2 linked regions of the Saccharomyces cerevisiae S288C genome follow. The protein of the gene in region 1 binds, or shares a complex with, the protein of each later gene. Each region holds a gene or a part of one and is shown on either strand. Other genes may lie near its edges. A codon is read from its position in the direction of its gene.

Evidence for each region.
Region 2: the proteins of BUD23 (region 1) and TRM112 are in contact, whole or in part, in a crystal structure (PDB 4QTT), measured with the Saccharomyces cerevisiae proteins. Residues at the interface, in NP_009976.1 of Saccharomyces cerevisiae: Pro47 (codon at 2,646), Cys48 (codon at 2,643), Ser49 (codon at 2,640), Phe50 (codon at 2,637), Asp70 (codon at 2,577), Val72 (codon at 2,571), Cys74 (codon at 2,565), Ile78 (codon at 2,553), Leu83 (codon at 2,538), Leu87 (codon at 2,526), Glu92 (codon at 2,511), Gly93 (codon at 2,508), Asp94 (codon at 2,505), Leu95 (codon at 2,502), Met96 (codon at 2,499), Leu97 (codon at 2,496), Gln98 (codon at 2,493), Asp99 (codon at 2,490), Thr102 (codon at 2,481), Ile104 (codon at 2,475), Pro105 (codon at 2,472), Phe106 (codon at 2,469), Arg107 (codon at 2,466), Gly109 (codon at 2,460), Ser110 (codon at 2,457), Phe111 (codon at 2,454), Asp112 (codon at 2,451), Arg139 (codon at 2,370); in NP_014444.1 of Saccharomyces cerevisiae: Met1 (codon at 908), Lys2 (codon at 905), Leu4 (codon at 899), Thr5 (codon at 896), Asn7 (codon at 890), Phe8 (codon at 887), Leu9 (codon at 884), Lys10 (codon at 881), Ser12 (codon at 875), Lys14 (codon at 869), Asp17 (codon at 860), Phe23 (codon at 842), Ile40 (codon at 791), Asn43 (codon at 782), Glu45 (codon at 776), Phe46 (codon at 773), Asn49 (codon at 764), Ile50 (codon at 761), Arg53 (codon at 752), Val54 (codon at 749), Asp55 (codon at 746), Leu101 (codon at 608), Asn123 (codon at 542), Gly124 (codon at 539), Ile125 (codon at 536), Pro126 (codon at 533), Asn127 (codon at 530), Leu128 (codon at 527), Leu129 (codon at 524).

What each region holds. Positions count from the first base shown.
Region 1 is NC_001135.5:208,762-214,357, forward strand, and holds BUD23 (18S rRNA (guanine1575-N7)-methyltransferase), read right to left. Parts: upstream 2,785-5,596; coding exon 1,957-2,784; downstream 1-1,956. Other genes in the region: RRT12 (Rrt12p), read right to left, coding at 1-849; mitochondrial 54S ribosomal protein bL19m IMG1, read right to left, coding at 1,153-1,662; ARE1 (sterol acyltransferase), read left to right, coding at 3,168-5,000; YCR050C (uncharacterized protein), read right to left, coding at 4,703-5,011; YCR051W (uncharacterized protein), read left to right, coding at 5,310-5,596. UniProt on the Saccharomyces cerevisiae protein: S-adenosyl-L-methionine-dependent methyltransferase that specifically methylates the N(7) position of guanine 1575 (m7G1575) in 18S rRNA. Requires the methyltransferase adapter protein TRM112 for full rRNA methyltransferase activity.
Region 2 is NC_001146.8:704,561-708,695, reverse strand, and holds TRM112 (RNA methylation protein TRM112), read right to left. Parts: upstream 909-4,135; coding exon 501-908; downstream 1-500. Other genes in the region: serine/threonine protein kinase FPK1, read right to left, coding at 1-173; PET494 (Pet494p), read right to left, coding at 1,088-2,557; AGA1 (Aga1p), read right to left, coding at 2,820-4,135. UniProt on the Saccharomyces cerevisiae protein: Acts as an activator of both rRNA/tRNA and protein methyltransferases. Together with methyltransferase MTQ2, required for the methylation of eRF1 on 'Gln-182'.

The DNA.
Region 1 (5,596 bases):
CACTGCCATGTTGATTATGGGGCTCCTGAAACTCCCTAGACTTAGATTGGCCACGCATTTTTTACCCTGTGGGCGACTGACCTTTGTGCAATGTTCCACGATGAACTCCAGACCACTAAGAACGTTACTGGCCTCGCCAGACCCGTCTTTGCCCAAGACTTTGACCTCCACAAGATTGACCCTCTTTGCCGCTCCATACGTTTTGGAACCTACGAGTCCCGCCACGTGCGTTCCGTGGCCATTCTGGTCGCCAAACCCTTCTTTGGTCAAGTCAATCCCCTGGATGACTCTGTCTTCGAATTCCGGATGGTCCGCGAAGATACCCGTATCCATGATATAGGCGTTGACGTCTTGACCTTGATAGTCGTGTTCATAGTAGTAATTGAACCAGCTTTTGTAGCGGTCCTTGTCCCCAACGTCGAATGGGAGTTGGTAGTGGCGGGAAATCCGGGCCAAGTGACGGGGTGCGTCTGGTTGATACGTTATATTTTGCTCTTCCTCGACGTCTTCGTACGAGTATTTGGCGGTAGCGTTAAACGTATAACTCGACTCGGCGCTATTTACACTGTCGCCTTCAAAAGCTTCGAACCTGAAGTTGGGCACAATATCAGCCACCAGTGGGCTTTTCTTCAGCTTGTTCACTAAGTTCTTGGACAGGTTCATGGTCACGCCGCGGAAGGATCCGATGGAGAATTTCTTCTCAATTTTGTTGTCGATGAACTGTCTCCATGACCTGTTGGAATTCGAAGTGAATTGTTGGAATGCTGTGGGATTTTTGAACCTCACCAAATACTCCTCTGCGTATGCGAGGTTGACCAGCAAAGAGATGAGTATGCACTGTGGCTTCATGACCAGTGTTTTTTTGCTGTTTTTCTTGGCGGATGTTAGAGGATGTCTAGCACTTGAGTATACCTCTATATGCTGTGTAAAATAGAAAATAAAAAAGCCAATGAGAACAATATTTTGTGTCGTTTTTTTTATTTTCGCTTCAATTCTCTATACACGTACGTCATCACTACGGGAAACCAAAAAAAAAAAAAAGAAAACAGTACAAAAAGGTTTACTTTACCCATAGTTAGTATACGTAGATTTTATACACGCACTATTTTTCTTATATACAGGAGATGGGTGGCCACAGAACCCGCGCCTAGCCTATTTCTTTCTTCTTAGACCTGCCTCGAGGTCGCCGACATCCAACCTTGTACCTCTGATGTAGTAGTGTTTGTTTCTTTGTCTGCTCGAGACGTGGGGGGTTAGCAAGTCGATTCTCTCGATCAGCGGCGAAAACAATGGCACTCTAATCTCGACGGCCGTCTTGGCTATCTGGTTCCGCAACAGCAACGAGGCGTCTTGCACCAGTTGTTTGCGGTCTATGGAAAGGATGTAGCCAACAAAGGTGTCGTACGAGCACTTGGACGAGTCGTACACAATCCGGACCACGTCGCCTGCCTTCAAGCGGTCCTTGTTCTTTTTACTGATGAGCTTCCTCTTAACGGCCCCGGGATCCAGAGACTCTATTTCTGAGAGGGCCACCTGCTTCATAATCTGCGACGAAGCTATGCGCTGCACAGGTGGGTACACGGGGATGGTTTTTCTCTTGGTGGCGGGGACCATGTAGGACCTTGTCCATGATCCAAGCAATCTGACGTTCCTGCTCCACATCGCTATGGTTCTCTCTCCCTTTCAGCAGCTGCTCAGAGGGAAGACTCGATTCTTCTTCTTCTTCTTTACTGGGAGTTCCAAAGCACCAAAATTGAAAACCAAGAAAAAAAGGAAAATACATCACTACATAAAAGTGCGCGGAGCCATTGACCACTCACATACAGATATAAGTGTATATATACAAGTATACATATACAAGTATACATGTAGAAGGAGACAGAGACAGAGGGAAATGTATAAGTGTGTATTTTTATAGTATACAAAAGAATATGCGTGTGAGGATGTGTGTTTCTTCTAGAACCTGTGTCTTCTTTTCCTCCCGGTGAACTTGGAGTCCTTCGCAACTTTCCTCCCACGTCTTTTCATGAGCTCCTTCTTTCTTAGAATGAAACTCTTGGCAGACTCCTTGTCTTTGCCTCCCTTCAAGCGCTGGCGCAGTTGTTTCTTCAAGTTGACGTTCTCCTCGTCCATGGTCACACCGTCCAAATTCACCTGCTCCTCCCCCTGCGGTGGGGCCCCACTGCTCAACACAAGGTAGTACTTCTTATTCTTTTTAGACTCTGGGTCGTCCACCACAAGCCCGCCACTGAACCCTGCCACCTTGGCAGACTGCAGTATGTCGTCCACCTGGTCGTCGTTTTTCGGGTAGAACTGGGCCACAAATTTCCCTCCCTTCTTCAGTGCAGCATACAATGTGTTGAAAAACCTCATCAACCGCTGTTTAGGATCGTTGTATGAAGTGTCCGCATTGCACAGCCATTGGATCGCACTGATACTAATAGCCGCGTCAAACGAGCCCGCCCGGAACGGTATCCCGGTGCCCATATCCTGCAACATCAAGTCGCCCTCCAGCTCTCTACTAAGACCGGTCGCAAGCATGCTGGGCGATATATCCAAACCACACCACACATGGTCTCCCTCCTGCGTCAAAATCTCCCCAGACAGTCCGGACCCGCACCCGATATCCAGAATGAAACTGCACGGCTGCAGATTCAAAAGCTCCAACGCCCTCAGCGTCATCTTCGCCTGGATATGCTGCACTCTGGTCGAACCCGTGTACTTGTGTGCTTCGCTATCATTATAGAAAATCTCCGGTGGTGCCAACTCCTCAGGACGTGACATTATTTCTTCTCTGATATATTTCCTGTGTTTCCGTACCGCACCTTTTTAGCACTACTTTTTTACTATGCTCTTCTTCTTCTGCTTCTTCTGCTTTTTTCCTCTTTATCACACTATGTATGTGCTGCTCATCTCTTCTTTTTATCGATAAAATTGAAAAATGTGAGATGGTGTAGAGTGAAAAAAAAAAAAAAATCTGGCTTGGCCATCAAATACCCGGCCGTGGTTGGACTCGTTTAGCGAACAATAGCACCCAGCAGACCCTGGCAACATGCGGATGATATAAGAAGGACGAGCGTGGTGGAGGAAAGGGGCGCCATTGGCACACTCACGCAGGTGGTTGTTCAGCACGGCTTGCAGCAAGAGCGCCAAAACAGATTGCAAGAATGACGGAGACTAAGGATTTGTTGCAAGACGAAGAGTTTCTTAAGATCCGCAGACTCAATTCCGCAGAAGCCAACAAACGGCATTCGGTCACGTACGATAACGTGATCCTGCCACAGGAGTCCATGGAGGTTTCGCCACGGTCGTCTACCACGTCGCTGGTGGAGCCAGTGGAGTCGACTGAAGGAGTGGAGTCGACTGAGGCGGAACGTGTGGCAGGGAAGCAGGAGCAGGAGGAGGAGTACCCTGTGGACGCCCACATGCAAAAGTACCTTTCACACCTGAAGAGCAAGTCTCGGTCGAGGTTCCACCGAAAGGATGCTAGCAAGTATGTGTCGTTTTTTGGGGACGTGAGTTTTGATCCTCGCCCCACGCTCCTGGACAGCGCCATCAACGTGCCCTTCCAGACGACTTTCAAAGGTCCGGTGCTGGAGAAACAGCTCAAAAATTTACAGTTGACAAAGACCAAGACCAAGGCCACGGTGAAGACTACGGTGAAGACTACGGAGAAAACGGACAAGGCAGATGCCCCCCCAGGAGAAAAACTGGAGTCGAACTTTTCAGGGATCTACGTGTTCGCATGGATGTTCTTGGGCTGGATAGCCATCAGGTGCTGCACAGATTACTATGCGTCGTACGGCAGTGCATGGAATAAGCTGGAAATCGTGCAGTACATGACAACGGACTTGTTCACGATCGCAATGTTGGACTTGGCAATGTTCCTGTGCACTTTCTTCGTGGTTTTCGTGCACTGGCTGGTGAAAAAGCGGATCATCAACTGGAAGTGGACTGGGTTCGTTGCAGTGAGCATCTTCGAGTTGGCTTTCATCCCCGTGACGTTCCCCATTTACGTCTACTACTTTGATTTCAACTGGGTCACGAGAATCTTCCTGTTCCTGCACTCCGTGGTGTTTGTTATGAAGAGCCACTCGTTTGCCTTTTACAACGGGTATCTTTGGGACATAAAGCAGGAACTCGAGTACTCTTCCAAACAGTTGCAAAAATACAAGGAATCTTTGTCCCCAGAGACCCGCGAGATTCTGCAAAAAAGTTGCGACTTTTGCCTTTTCGAATTGAACTACCAGACCAAGGATAACGACTTCCCCAACAACATCAGTTGCAGCAATTTCTTCATGTTCTGTTTGTTCCCCGTCCTCGTGTACCAGATCAACTACCCAAGAACGTCGCGCATCAGATGGAGGTATGTGTTGGAGAAGGTGTGCGCCATCATTGGCACCATCTTCCTCATGATGGTCACGGCACAGTTCTTCATGCACCCGGTGGCCATGCGCTGTATCCAGTTCCACAACACGCCCACCTTCGGCGGCTGGATCCCCGCCACGCAAGAGTGGTTCCACCTGCTCTTCGACATGATTCCGGGCTTCACTGTTCTGTACATGCTCACGTTTTACATGATATGGGACGCTTTATTGAATTGCGTGGCGGAGTTGACCAGGTTTGCGGACAGATATTTCTACGGCGACTGGTGGAATTGCGTTTCGTTTGAAGAGTTTAGCAGAATCTGGAACGTCCCCGTTCACAAATTTTTACTAAGACACGTGTACCACAGCTCCATGGGCGCATTGCATTTGAGCAAGAGCCAAGCTACATTATTTACTTTTTTCTTGAGTGCCGTGTTCCACGAAATGGCCATGTTCGCCATTTTCAGAAGGGTTAGAGGATATCTGTTCATGTTCCAACTGTCGCAGTTTGTGTGGACTGCTTTGAGCAACACCAAGTTTCTACGGGCAAGACCGCAGTTGTCCAACGTTGTCTTTTCGTTTGGTGTCTGTTCAGGGCCCAGTATCATTATGACGTTGTACCTGACCTTATGAACTGCCACCATACCACGTGTGTCCCTCGCAAGCCCTTGATAGATATACAATAGGGAATGGGCGTCCGCTCCACCGTGGTCAAAGACAGGGGCAAAGAGCTCCTAGGTCTATATATATATCTATATACATATTTATATATATTATTAGAACTTTACAATATAGTATATACCATTCATTGTTTAAGTTTCGGGTAATACTTTTTTTTTCCTTGTCATAACCCCAAAAATTTTCGATGCCTTTGATATAATTGAGAACAAGAAGAGTTTGCAGGTGACAAAAATCGATGATTATAGGTGTTGTGACGACAAAATGAACGCTAATATATGGGTGGCTGCTTCAGATGGTAATTTGGACCGAGTGGAACATATCCTCCGCGAGAGTAAAGGCGCCATGACCCCGCAATCCAAGGACATTAACGGCTACACTCCAATGCATGCTGCCGCCGCATACGGCCACCTGGATTTGCTGAAGAAAATGTGCAATGAGTACAATGGAGACATTAATGTGTTGGACAACGACGGCGATACCCCGTTGCACCATGTGGAGGATGTGGCCACTGCCAGGTTGATCGTGGAAGAGCTGGGTGGAGACTTCAC
Region 2 (4,135 bases), on another chromosome or scaffold:
ACACTCATGTTGTTCGATGAACTCGCATTCCTTTTCCATGACCGCGTAAGCAACTTCGAAAAGGATATACTTCTAGTCCTTTCTGATCCAGTAGTAGGCCGTTGAAGGGAATCGTGTTCGTGTTCTTGCTCGTGGTCGCGCTCTTGTTCATGTTCGTGATGGTGTCCAGCCATATTCTCTTGCTGTTTTCCAAATGATACTACCTTCAAGGCCCCTGAACCTTCAAACCGGCGACTTTGCTGCCTTATATGCCGGTGAGTCCTTAAAACAGGAGAGTATCTCGTTCTTTAAAGCTCTTAGAATCTGTATCTCCAAATCACGCGCGACGGGAAGGCTCAAATAGAAACTGTGGTGGGTTAGATCTCAGTCTTTGTTTTCCTTTTAGGTTGTTTATGCTACATGTTTGATGCCATACGTATATGAGGCTACTACTACATATATAGCTGTGTATATAGTTGTCTTTTCGTCTTGCGTGCCCACACACAGAGATCTCGCTTGATTTATACCAGGTGTGGAGGTAACAGCAAGTTTGGAATGCCGTTCTTGATGTAATAGATATGTCCGCAGTTCCTACACTTCATTTCACCTTCGGCAATGGACGTCTGTAGCAGTAAAGTATGCAAGTCATTAAGGATGGCCATGTCGTCATCGGTGAGCTCCTGGATCGAAGATGGGAAGGATGGTTTGGTAGGAGGTAAGGCGTTGTTTCCCAATTCGGCAGCAACCGTGAGCACTGCAGGCCAGTCTACGCGGTCGACTATGTTCAGAAGGAATTCTGGATTGAACTCGATAGATTCATCCTGTACCAATTGGCATTTGCTGCCGTCGTACTGTAGGGGGAAGTTGTCGTTGCTGGTGTCACAGGCTTTAACGGAGCACTTTAGGAAGTTGGTGGTTAAGAACTTCATGTTGACTAGGCTAGTAATATGATGTGTAGAGCCGAAGAGATCATAGGATGCTACAGTAGCTTCATTGCTGGTGAAGTAGTTTTGCTTTTAAAGCTCATCGATGAAAATTTTACCCAAAAAGATACAGTTTCGTATGAGATGATGAGTGTGATTTGGGAGGTACATATTTACATGTTTTATTAAGAAGAGTCCGCCTGGATATCAGAAATGCGTTTCAGCAGCGCAACCACGTCCCTATTTTTGCTTAGAATTTGATAACAGGTTCTCTTCTCTGCCTGCGAAATGGTACCAAGTATTTGAGAGCGGTCTTCATCTCTCGGCAGTAGGATTCTGACGGTTGGCCCTGCGTGTTTCTTCTTGTTGCGTTGTAGGAAACAATTTAGTTTGAGGATGCTGATTAGTTTGAATATATTGTCATTATAGTCGTATTTGCAGCCTGTTTCTTGCAAGTTGATATATCCCTTGAGTAGTCGTGTGTATGTTTCCAGAGATATGCTCGGTACTGGCTTGTTGACAGATGGAGAATTTACATTAGGGAAAAAAAGTTGAGTACGTTCGTTGTAGGGATTCATTACAATTGAAGAGTATTTCTGGAATATCCTGTTATCCTGCATGGAGTCATTAATTAATATATCGTAAAAATCTTCTTCGGTTCTGTTGTCGTAGATATTATGGGGGAAAAGGAAGGAATGGTCGTACAGCCAAAGACCCAACAGTTTTTTTACCTCGTTAGATCGCACCTTTCCATAGAATTGCTTAAACTCACCCAAGGTCTTCAAACTGTTGTCGTGAAGTTCTGTGCAGATGAATTTCAATATCGTTGGGTATTTAGACCAGTTCGGCAGTTGAAAATTCTGCACTTTCTCAGGTGATGTCACTATCTTATCGAAATTTTTATTCCACAGGTCGTAGAACACGTCTATCCTTCGATGAGTACCTTGTACCTCTTTTCCCTTAGTCAAAAGCTCGACTTCACGCCGCCATTCCTCGCTGTTGTTATTTTGAGTCATGGTCGTGGGTTGAATAACATCTCGATACAGCATATAAGCATATAGCATGTGGAATATAGATGCCTTCGCACGCTGCGAGTCATAATCAGTGACATTTTCCCTCTTATTCAAAATCAAATCTCCTAAAGTATACTGTTTTATAGGGGTGTCTAACTTTGCGTTCTGCTCCTCGACTAAGGGATCTTCCCGGACATGTGCTACATCAGGTTGCTCCCATTTAATATCATCTTCTTCACCCCTCAATTCAATATCTCGTGGCAAGCTGAGGGCCGTAGTCTCGAGCTCTTCTCTCTGTTTCGCCAGGCTCACCTGTGCCGCCATCATCTGCTCTTCGAATGCTCTTTCACTGCTGATAGTAACCAGCGTATTATACGTAACAATGCCCATAAATGCGACAATATTAGTTGTGACAAACATCAAATTACCAGGCGCATTGAAGTATCTCCACAGTGTACGCAGATATGGGAATGTATCACCATTACAGCTCAGGAGAAGTCCGTTTGTCCTTGTGAAGTTTGTCACTGGTTTCTTCCTACTTCGAGAAAAATGCATATTCGTCTTAGAGTTTACGGAATAAAAACGCTTCCATAAAAGTCGCCATACTGTGCTAATACTCCTCTTCCCCTTTTTCAAATGCATCGTGTGTTTCCACGCCTGCTCGGGTGCCTTTGCTGTCTCCAAGCTACTGTTGTTATCCGTTTGTTTTATACTTTCCTTATTTTGTAATTTACTATTGGATGTATCTCCCCGCGTGAAGTCACTAGAACGGTTTAAAATAAAACTTTAATAAATTTATAAGCGTCAGCAAATACATATCAATAGAGAGCGTTTTCATTACATTGTTGTATTTTTATTCGATTGATTGTATATGTTTATATAAATGAATTAAATTGTTCTGATATTAACTGAAAATTACATTGCAAGCAACTGCCATGATGGCGAAGACCAACTTTCCTAATGGCAAACGCGTTTGCGATCCACTGCCCATATATTGGCTAATTGTTACCATTGATGAAGTTTGGTATTGTATGGAGATTGAAGTAGTGGAAACTTCTGTAGTGGTAACAGATGTTTGTAGAGAAGAGGGAGCAGATGATGATGAGAGGAAAATAGAAGATACCGTCGGAGTCAATGATGAAGATTCAATAGTCGATTCCACAGAGGTAGATGGTGTAGAGATAGATGTTGCGGAAAGTGATGATGTAGAGGCAGATATTGTAGCAATAGCTGTGGAAGAAGTGGGTTGTAAAATCTCTGATGTTGAAGAAATTTGAAGTGTGGTAACTGGTGACTGTTCGACACTTAGTGATGATACAGAACTGAATAGCAAAATAGTACTGTCAGAGGATAATGTAGCAGACAAGGAGGAGGATGAAAGGACCGATGTCGATAATAAGTGTGATGATTGTTCTTGAGATTCTGAGTCAATGCTTGATGTACTCGTGGCTTCACTTACACTAGTCGAAATGGTTGAGGTACCTGAAGATGTTACATGATACTTACCGGTAGCGTGCTTATTGAAATCTTCATCCGAAGTTGTCATTGAACTTACCCAACTCTTTGTGGATGTGGTCTGCTGTGTTACAGAACTTGATGAAGCTGTTTGCACGGAAGAATACGAGTGTGACGTTTCAGCACATGTGGAGCATGCATATGAGGATTCAACCGTTGAGGTGCTTACAGAAGTTGCGACGTTTTTAGTGGACATTTTTATAGAAGATGTAATCAAACTTGTTGTCTGCGAGGGCATGCAAGACTCGTGAGTGCAGACTGTAGCGTCTGTTGTAACCGTTTCATGCATACTGGTTAATGTGCTAGTCTCAGATTCAGAGCTATAAGGACACCATGTCGTATACATTGTAGTGACTCCACTAACAGTGGTGAAATATGTAGACATGGAAAATGATGGGATAGTAGTAGAAATTGAGGATTTGGTGATATATTCAGACGAACTTTGTGAACTAACAGTTGTTTCAACAGTTGAAGAAGTCATAGAAGGAGTTGCAACATTTGACGAAGTCGAAGGGACGGAGTAAACAGGTGTGGATGGGCTGTATAATGACACAGACGTTGATGAAGATGCTATAGAGGAGCCAAGGGATGAAGTTGAATCAGTAAAAGTAGAGCTAATAGATGTTGAACTTGGAGAAGTGGAAGCCAAAGTTGGAGATGAAGAAGTCAAACTTGGGGATGTAGATGTTGAATATGAAGAAGTGG